Linked DNA regions of Macaca fascicularis. The protein of the gene in region 1 interacts with the protein of each later gene in a biochemical or structural test. Links are inferred from orthologs where the notes say so. Each region holds a gene or a part of one and is shown on either strand. Other genes may lie near its edges.

Region 1 (4,817 bases):
ATAAGAGGGATGGAAGAAAGTGGACTGATTTGAAATATACGTAGACTCTATAGGAATTACTAATGGATTAGATGTGGGGAACAAGGGAAAGAGAATTCAAGAATATATTCTAGGTTTTGGCTTGTCCAACTGGGAAGACAGTGATACCATTTACTTAAGTGGAACAACTAAATGAGAAGTGTATTTGGGGGATAAAGCTAAGTTTTGTTTTGTGTATGTTAAGTTTGAAATACCTGTTTGACATTCAAGTAGAAAAAAGCATAGGCCTGTATACATAGAAATATATGTATCTATATCTATATATTCATACTTATCTATTAATCAATCTACCTCAGGAGTTCCATGGAAAAACCAGAACTAGAGATAGAAATCACCAGAATCAGTATTACTACCCAGTATTGAAAGCCCTGACGCATACATCCCTACCTTGTCCATCTGTTGAATTCCTGGTCATCCTTTAAAACCTAGTTTAGACATCATCTCCCAAGGTCTTCCCTGATCACCCTGAGTGAATCTCTTTCTCCCCTCTATTACGTGGGTAGGGTATTTTGTAGGTACTTACACCTTTCCATTTAAGACTGCACAGTAATTATTTGCTGACGCATAAAGGCAAGGGACCTCATTCAATTCACTTTGGTGGTCATTTTCTTTTTTTTTAAGCGATGGGGATCTCACTATGTTGCCCAGGCTGAATTCAAACTCCTGGGCTCAAGTGATCCTCCCATCTCAGCCTCCTGAGTAGCTGGTACTACAGGCTTGTGCCACCAAGCCCCCTCACATTGGTCTTCTTCAACATTAACATTGTAAATTACGATATGTCTGATAAAGTAGACTCTTTTTTTTTTTTTTTTTTTTCAGATGGAGTCTGGCTCTGTCGCCCAGGCTGGAGTGCAGTGGCCGGATCTCGGCTCACTGCAAGCTCCGCCTCCCGGGTTTACGCCATTCTTCCGCCTCAGCCTCCCGAGTAGCTGGGACTACAGGCGCCCGCCACCTCGCCCGGCTAGTTTTTTTGTATTTTTTAGTAAAGACGGCGTTTCACCGTGTTCGCCAGGATGGTCTCGATCTCCTGACCTCGTGATCCGCCCGTCTCGGCCTCCCAAAAAGTAGACTCTTAATAAATGTCAATGAAATTGAACCAAATTCATCAAAAATTCATCAATTTGCATCAGAAAGTCAGAAGCAAAAGTTACAATTGACAAAGACAAAATGCTGCCAGGTGAGAATTAAGGTTTCCAACATCATGCGGGGGAACCATTAAAACAATCAAATCCTTTTTCTACCTCCATCTAAACTAGTAAGTCTACAGATGCAGAAAAGAAGGACGAAGTTCTCTTATTCACAGAAAAAAAAGAAGGGGTTGAGTCCAAAGTGCCTATAGTATTTCTTCTCTCAATGACTCACATGACTATCTGCCCATAAAAAGATCTGCATAAAAAATGCTGCAGTGTGTCTATCACCAAACTGTGTATCATTTATACTGCAAAAGTTCTAGGAGGGTAGGCAGCTTATAAATACTCACCAGCAGACAGTGGGCAAAGTCAGGACCTCCCACTAGGCCAGTGAAATTTCCCAGCTGCTCAGCAAGAGCTAATAGTACCTCATCTTCATCATAAATTGTATCTGGAAGGGACAACAACAGGGACTCATCAACATGGATAGCTCTCACATAGCTGGACACTGACACAAAACTAGGAACAGATTCACTATGCGACCGGTAAGGTGGCCCAGTCAAAATCCTAACAGCATTTTCTTCCTTCTCCTCAATCAACCATCTTCCTGGATCTGTTTTGCACAACGAATTAGAAATTCATACTCCCATATCAATTACTTTCCCAACAGCTAAATGGTTGATGTTTGAATATATCTAACCACAACTAATAATATCCTCTGTTCTGTTTCTTTTGCACAGAAAGCACCTGGCTCATTTTAATGTGGGTAACAAACTCTAAAAAAGTCAGTGTCGAAAGTCCCTGGAAAATGAATGTCCCTGCCTTTCTTTAAACAAAGATTCACATACCTGTAAGAAATGGCAACAATTCACTTCGCGTCCTTTCTACTCCAAGTGCTAGGGCAATTGTTGATAACTTCTTAATACTGTTGAGTCGGAGCTTCAGAAAAGAAAGTAGAAAGAAGAACAATGTAAAGAAACGGCTGAATTTAGATCAAAAGACAAAAGGTGCTAACAGGTGAAATAATGACACAGGGGTAAGAACGAAGATAACCTTTTACTTAGATTTTACTGTTAAGGAACCTCCATAGGACGGAGGAGTGTAACTCGGCCTCACTAGCCGGCGGAAGATTTCCTGGGAGAAACACTCAGAAGGGCCTGGAAGAGAAATGAATGAAAGACAATACAACACCCAGGAAGTAAGATAATCTTAAAAAGAGAGGACTTTGGCAGTGGTGAAGCAGGTGAAACGGTTGAATACAACGCCTGTGGTTTCAAAGAAAAGTTCCCGCAGAGCTGATACAACGACTCGTCCAGGTTAATCGGCCATCCCACCCCCTCTTTCTACCCAACAGGACGAGCCAGTTCCAAGCCCAGATGAAGGGATTCCGAGGCACTTCAAAGAGCTTCTGGGCATCCTGCGCCCCTCAGCCGCTCCAGCCCCGTCTCGGCCCGGCACCGCGCTTCTCCAGCTCCCTCGCCTACCAGGCGCGGCCACCTCACAGCCCGGATAGGGCGCCCAGGCGGGAAGCGGGTTCCCCGACAACCGCCCTGGAAAGGCAAGGCTCCGGGCGGACCCCTTAGGGGGTCCGAAGCAGGGGTACCAGAGAGGTCCCCGGGAGGGTCGAGGCGTGTCACCACAGCCCCTCGCAGAGCTTTCCCTGCCTCCCCTTCAAGTTTCTGCTACGAGTCCGGCTCATTCAGTACCCCGGCCACCCCCACCGAGGCGCAGGCCTTCCCCCTTCTCTACCACGCGACCAGTCGGTCTCGCCTCGGCTCCCCGGCCTCAGTCCAGTACCTGCACGTCTTCATTGCGGAGCTCGTCGATTAAAACCGCGATTGGGTATAGCGAATCATCTCCATCTCCCCCCGCTGCTCCTGGGCCGGTCCCGAGCCCCGATGCGCCCGCCATGTTCTTTCTCCTCCTGCTGCTGGTCACAGCCTCCCGCCCCGCGCCCAGGCCCCGCCCCCGCCCCGCGCCCAGGCCCCGCCCCGCGCCCGGGCAGCAGGGGAGAAGGCCGCCGCGCGGGTTTAGCAGAGGTTGGGGAGTTGAGTTTCTGTCCCGATGATTAAGACTCCCTTCCGACCCCCACTGCAGGAGTTGTAGGTCTGAACTCAAGAAGACGGGTGGGCTGAGAAAGCGAATGGAACCCCTGCGTCCTTTCCCCAGCCGAAAGAAACAGGGACAGGGATTCATCCGGCTCGTTGTAGTCTGAAGGGGCCAGGGACCTACCTGAGTGATCCGCGCTGTGCCCTCTTAAGACTCAGGCGGACCAAAGAGAGTGCCCGAGGCCAGGAGGAAAAAGGCTTTAGCACCTCCCCTGACTTCATCCTGGCCCTGAGCCACTGGATCTCCAGCCCTAATTTCTCCGCTCAGCCTCAAGCTTCCACAGAACCCCTCCACCTCTTCCGTCGGCCTGTTCTCCAGAATGGTATCTGGCTCCTGCTCCGTAAGACAAATAACGCGGGCGGTGAGAGAAAATGAACAGTGCTGTCCAAACTCCCCAGTCAATATTTTTTCCACGCAAGCTGTTAAAAACATGCTGCTCTCTTGTTTTTGTGTTTCTTTTCAGTTTGGTACTGGAATGGTGCCTTCTGTTGTATTTTCTTCCTCCCATTTTTTAGCTCTTTAGCATGCTAGAAGTACAACAATGAAGCAAAACTAGGACAAGCTTTAATCCCTTGAGGAAGAAAACCCAAACTGGCCTCCCTAGACCTCCAAGAGTCCTCAGAGGCAGCAAGGGGAAGAGGTGGAGGTCTGGGAGCTCGTTCTTACAAACCTGAATGGAAAGTTTTCACTTATCCTTGTCAGGGTAGCACAGAATAATTAGAATGTTTTGTTTGTTTTAGACTGGAATTTAAGCAGCTTGGAGTGATAACTACATATGGTGATCACAAGCTCCGAAATGGTAATTCTATATGCCTGATTAATGAAACTATTAATGCAGTGTAGGAGACAGACTTTTTTAAAACATGGGGTCTGAGGCCGAGGCGGACGGATCACGTGAGGCCAGGAGTTCGAGACCAGCCTGGCCAACTTGGTGAAACCCCATCTCTACTAAAAATACAAAAATTAGCTGGGCTGGTGACCGGCACCTGTAGTCCCAGCTACTCAGGAGGCTGACATGAGAATCTCTTGAGCCCCAGAGGCAGAGGTTGCAGTGAGCCAGGATCGCACCACTGTACTCCAATCTGGGCGGCAGAGTGAGACCCCGTGTCAAAAATAAATAAATAAATAAATAGGGTTCTTGGAAGTAAGCACAATAGAGCCTGTGAATGAATGAATGAATGAATGAATGAGGTGCTTGGAAGTAAGCACAATAGATAGAGCCTTTGATAGTAATGAAAGTTTGGGAACCAGCAGACCTGAACAGTTTTTCTCAAATTATGTTTGTGGATGTATTCTCTAGGGTTTTAATTTTATTTTCATTTTCATATTTTTTAGATTTGTATAAACATATTCTGAATTATTTGGGTGACCACCTTACAACTCAGTATTGCCACACAATTTCAGCACCTACATTTACATGTGTGTTTTAGTGCTGCTTTTATTGTTCTGGGATAATGAGAAAAGAACAGAGGTGGTTTTAAAATAAGAATGATACTTTCATGCACAAAATGAAAGCCAAATGACATCATGAGATTGCAC
Region 2 (4,038 bases), on another chromosome or scaffold:
AGGAAGGGAGAATGGGAAAGAAAGGAGCAGCTCTACTTGAACACAAGGTTAGAGAGCCCAACCACAAGTTACCAAAGAACAGCAGCATTCCACGAGAAATACATTCCTTGTCTATATTATCAACAGACATGCCCCCCAAGAGAGCTTGACTATACGTGCTTCCAGGGAATAACCTGGAAGGCCTCATGAGGAGGTAGGCAGATTACCAAGGGTACAAGTGGCTCTGGACACACAGGTTTAAGACTTGTAAACCTCTGTAATTGTACTTATCACATCTGAGGCTTATTTCAGACAAACAGAATATGTAATCATTTTAAGGAAAGATACAATAAACTTACATTTAGAATGTCTATCACAGAGGGCAGATGCCCTCATGTCACATAGCCGAATAGTTCCTTTACTGCTGCTGTATACAAATGTGTTACAGCTGTTTGGATGAAATTCTGCTGCTGTAATCACCTCTGTCAGCTCTTCCATATTGGCAGGCTTGATATCCACAATGTCTAGATAACATTTTATTAAGGAATTTCCACTTAGAAAAAAGGGCAAATATAATTCTACATTTCTCAAACCTAAAACCCATTCACGGACCTAAGCAAAAGTATTAATTCTGAATTGTACTCCACTGTTTTTATGAGTATAAATTCCAAAGGGATTAAAACCTTTTTTTTAGACGGAGTCTCACTCTGTCACCCAGGGTGGAGTACAGTGGCACAATCTCGGGTCACTGTAGCCTCCGACTCCCAGGTTCAAGCGACTCTCCTGCATCAGCCTCCTGAGAAACTGGGATTACAGGCGCACACCACCACACCCAGCTAATTTTTAATTTTTTTTTCTATTTTTGGTAGAGACGGTGTTTCACTATATTGACCAGGCTGGTCTCGAACTGCTGACCTCCACCAGCCTCGCCTCGGCCTCCCAAAGTCACTGTGCCCGGCCTCAATAGAGTATTTTTATTGACCCAATCATGCATCATGACTTGAGTGAATTTCTTTTTCTAATCTTAATGAGACTATATATATACATATATATATATATTTTTTTTTTTTTTGAGACAGAGTTTCACTCTTGTTGCCCAGGCTGGAGTGTAATGACACAATCTCAGCTCACTGCAACCTCTGTCTCCCAGGTTGAAGCAATTCTCCTAACTCAACTGAGATTATAGGCATGCGCCACCACGCCCAGCTAATGTTTTGTATTTTTAGTAGAGATGGGGTTTCACCATGTTGGCCAGGCTGGTTTTGAACTACTGACCTTAGGTGATCCACCTGCCTTGACCTCCCAAAGTGCTGGGATTACAGGCTGAGTCACCGCGGTTGGCCGAGACTATTTTTACAATAAAAAATTCAAACACAATACTCCATAAATTTGATTACAAGAAAAAAAAATTTTTTTAGAGACAGGGTGTTACTCTGTCATCCAAGCTGGAGTGTAGAAGCAAGATCAAGCTCACTGTAACCTTGAACTCCTGGCCTCAAGTGATCTTCCCACCTCAGCCTCCCAAACCGCTGGGATTACAGGCATGAGCTACCATGCACAGACCTCACAAATTTGATTTTTAAAAATTCCTATTTCCATAGATACAAGACAAATTCCTTAAAATTCCATGAATCCAATTTTAAAATAATACATTATGCCCTTTATGTTCAGCAAATAACTCTTTCCAGTATTTCACTACTCATATACAAAGAAAAAGTAAGTTGCCATACATATATGTATACAGACTATAAAAAGAAGGAATCACATTCATTAAGGAGAGATGAAATAAATCCAATATGGGCACAACATGCCTCTTCACCAAACACCAAAGAAAACCAAATGGATACTAAAACTCCTGTCTGTAATTTCCAGATGCCAAAGATTAATCCGCAAATCATCTGCAGATAAATATGTTTCATAATCACTATTAATAGAAATTGAGTTGATGTGATATGTATGAGCATTGGCAAATATTCTTCGTGGACTGGCCTCAACCATTAGATCCATAGGCCTAAAGACTGGCACCTGTCAATAAGACACATGAAAAAAAGAAGTTACAAAAGGTTCAGTTTCAAATAGCAATTAAGATTCACAAAACTTCATTATTTTAGTTTTTGAGAACATAAAATAGAACAATATTACATAGATTTAGTTTTAAAAAGGAACTGATGTTGATCCTTTCAAAATGCTGAAGAAAAATGAACAATGTGGATAATATATCTTCTTTTACTGGTAGCAATACTATTACAATTTGCAGTTCTTAGTTCCAATATTTTGCTTGAAAGACATGCCAAGTTAATAAATGTTTATGGTTCAAATTAAAGAGGCTAAAAAAAAATTAACCCATAACATCTAACTTTGGGTATTTTTTAGCTACAACTAGAAGATTTGATCTATATCTACTTTTTTGATTTCCAAAGAAAATTTATCTTGAAACTTGACCTTGTAGTAGCTAACATGACAAACCAGAGATGAAGTCTGATGGCATGAAACACTGTCTTGTGTTTGAGTCCTGCTTCTGTCCCTGGTCAAAGTGAGACCTCTATGTAAGTCAGTTTCTATGTTTAAATGAGTTACTCAATATTCTACCTGATTACAGAATTATTGGGAAAGGGGAGACAGACTATAATTATTCCTATTCAAGCTCTGCTCAGGATTTGGGCTATATAATATGAATACAAACACTATCTGTGACATTTTATTCTTATGTACTTACTCGTAGTGTAGTAACTGTAGTAGGATCTCTATACCTTCCATCTTCCTCTTTCAGGTTATACCCTTCTGGTCTTTTGTCCCTTTCACTGATTTTCCATAATTTTATTGTTTTATCTGGGAAGAAAATAAAGCAAGCCCTTAAAATAAAAGGGTAGTACTGAAGAAGAAAAACATTTTAAGGCATTTAAAATATGCTATTTCACATTTCATCTAAAAGGATTCCATGGAAAAAAAAAAAAAAAACCCTAAGCTGACTTACTAAAAAATTTCCTATTAACAGCTGAATACCACACACACATAAAGTACAAAGATCACAAATTTATACATTAGTGGCACTCATATAAATTCCATGTGATAGTCAAATCAAGTCACAGGTCTCTATCCCTATCCCTTAAAAGTAATTAAAGCTAGAAGGAAAAACTTGATATGCATGTGTGGTGTATGCAAACACATGTATGTCTGTAGATACATGTACACATACACTCCATATACGCTCAGTATTGAATTTCGTATCAGGGTTCAGAAGTAGGAAACAGGGCCTGAAGAAAATTGATTAAAAGCATATATCCCCAAGTCCTTCAAGAAGAAACCAAATTCCTAGGTATCAAGGATATATAAAATGGCATCTGTTTAAAAACAAACTTTTGTTTTACAATTAAGTTTAGATTTACAGAAAAGTTACAAGAATTGTAGTGTTCCATATATCCTTTACCCAGTTTCTTCTGTCAACATCTTACGCAACCGTGGTACGTGTGTCAAAACTAAGACATCAACTTTGTATATTACTATTAACTCAACTACAGACTTCATTTGGAGATTTAACCAGGTTTTCCACTAACATTCCTTTTCTGTTCCAGAATTGAAACAACACCGCATTTAGTCATCAAGTTTCCTCAGTCTCTCTGCCTTTACGTTTCTCAGGCTCTCCTTGTTTTCTTGATCTTGACAGTTTTGAGTATTGGCGGTGAGGTACTTTCTAGAAAGCATATCCCTCAACTGGATTTGCCTGCTGTTTCCTCATGATCAGATTGAGACCATGGGTTTTCAGGAAAAGAACACAGAGGTGAAGTGACTTCTCACAGCACTGTTCAAGGGGATACAGCAGTATCAACATGACTTACAGCTGGTGGTGTTAACTTTGGTCATTTGGTTAAGACAATGTTTGCCAGGCTTCTCCACTATACAATGACTCTTTCACCCTTGCCATATTCTATTCTTTAGAAGTAAGTCACTAAATCCATCCTGTACTTAAAGGGAGAAGTAAGTTATACTCCCTGTAGGGAAGAGTATGTATCCACGTCTTATTTAGAATTCTCCTGCAGGAAGCATCCCTTCTCTCCATTT

What was found.
Region 2: the proteins of PPP2R1B (region 1) and PPP2R2A form a complex in vitro, tested with the Homo sapiens proteins (2 studies listed by BioGRID). The link is inferred for Macaca fascicularis from reciprocal best matches to the Homo sapiens genes PPP2R1B and PPP2R2A.

The regions. Positions count from the first base shown.
Region 1 is NC_088388.1:110,685,892-110,690,708, forward strand, and holds the start of PPP2R1B (serine/threonine-protein phosphatase 2A 65 kDa regulatory subunit A beta isoform), read right to left. Parts: upstream 3,108-4,817; 5' UTR 3,081-3,107; coding exon 2,967-3,080; intron 2,109-2,966; coding exon 2,018-2,108; intron 1,621-2,017; coding exon 1,520-1,620; intron 1-1,519. UniProt on the Homo sapiens protein: The PR65 subunit of protein phosphatase 2A serves as a scaffolding molecule to coordinate the assembly of the catalytic subunit and a variable regulatory B subunit.
Region 2 is NC_088382.1:29,548,353-29,552,390, reverse strand, and holds part of PPP2R2A (serine/threonine-protein phosphatase 2A 55 kDa regulatory subunit B alpha isoform), read right to left. Parts: intron 2,809-4,038; coding exon 2,696-2,808; intron 2,005-2,695; coding exon 1,827-2,004; intron 504-1,826; coding exon 339-503; intron 1-338. UniProt on the Homo sapiens protein: Substrate-recognition subunit of protein phosphatase 2A (PP2A) that plays a key role in cell cycle by controlling mitosis entry and exit. Involved in chromosome clustering during late mitosis by mediating dephosphorylation of MKI67.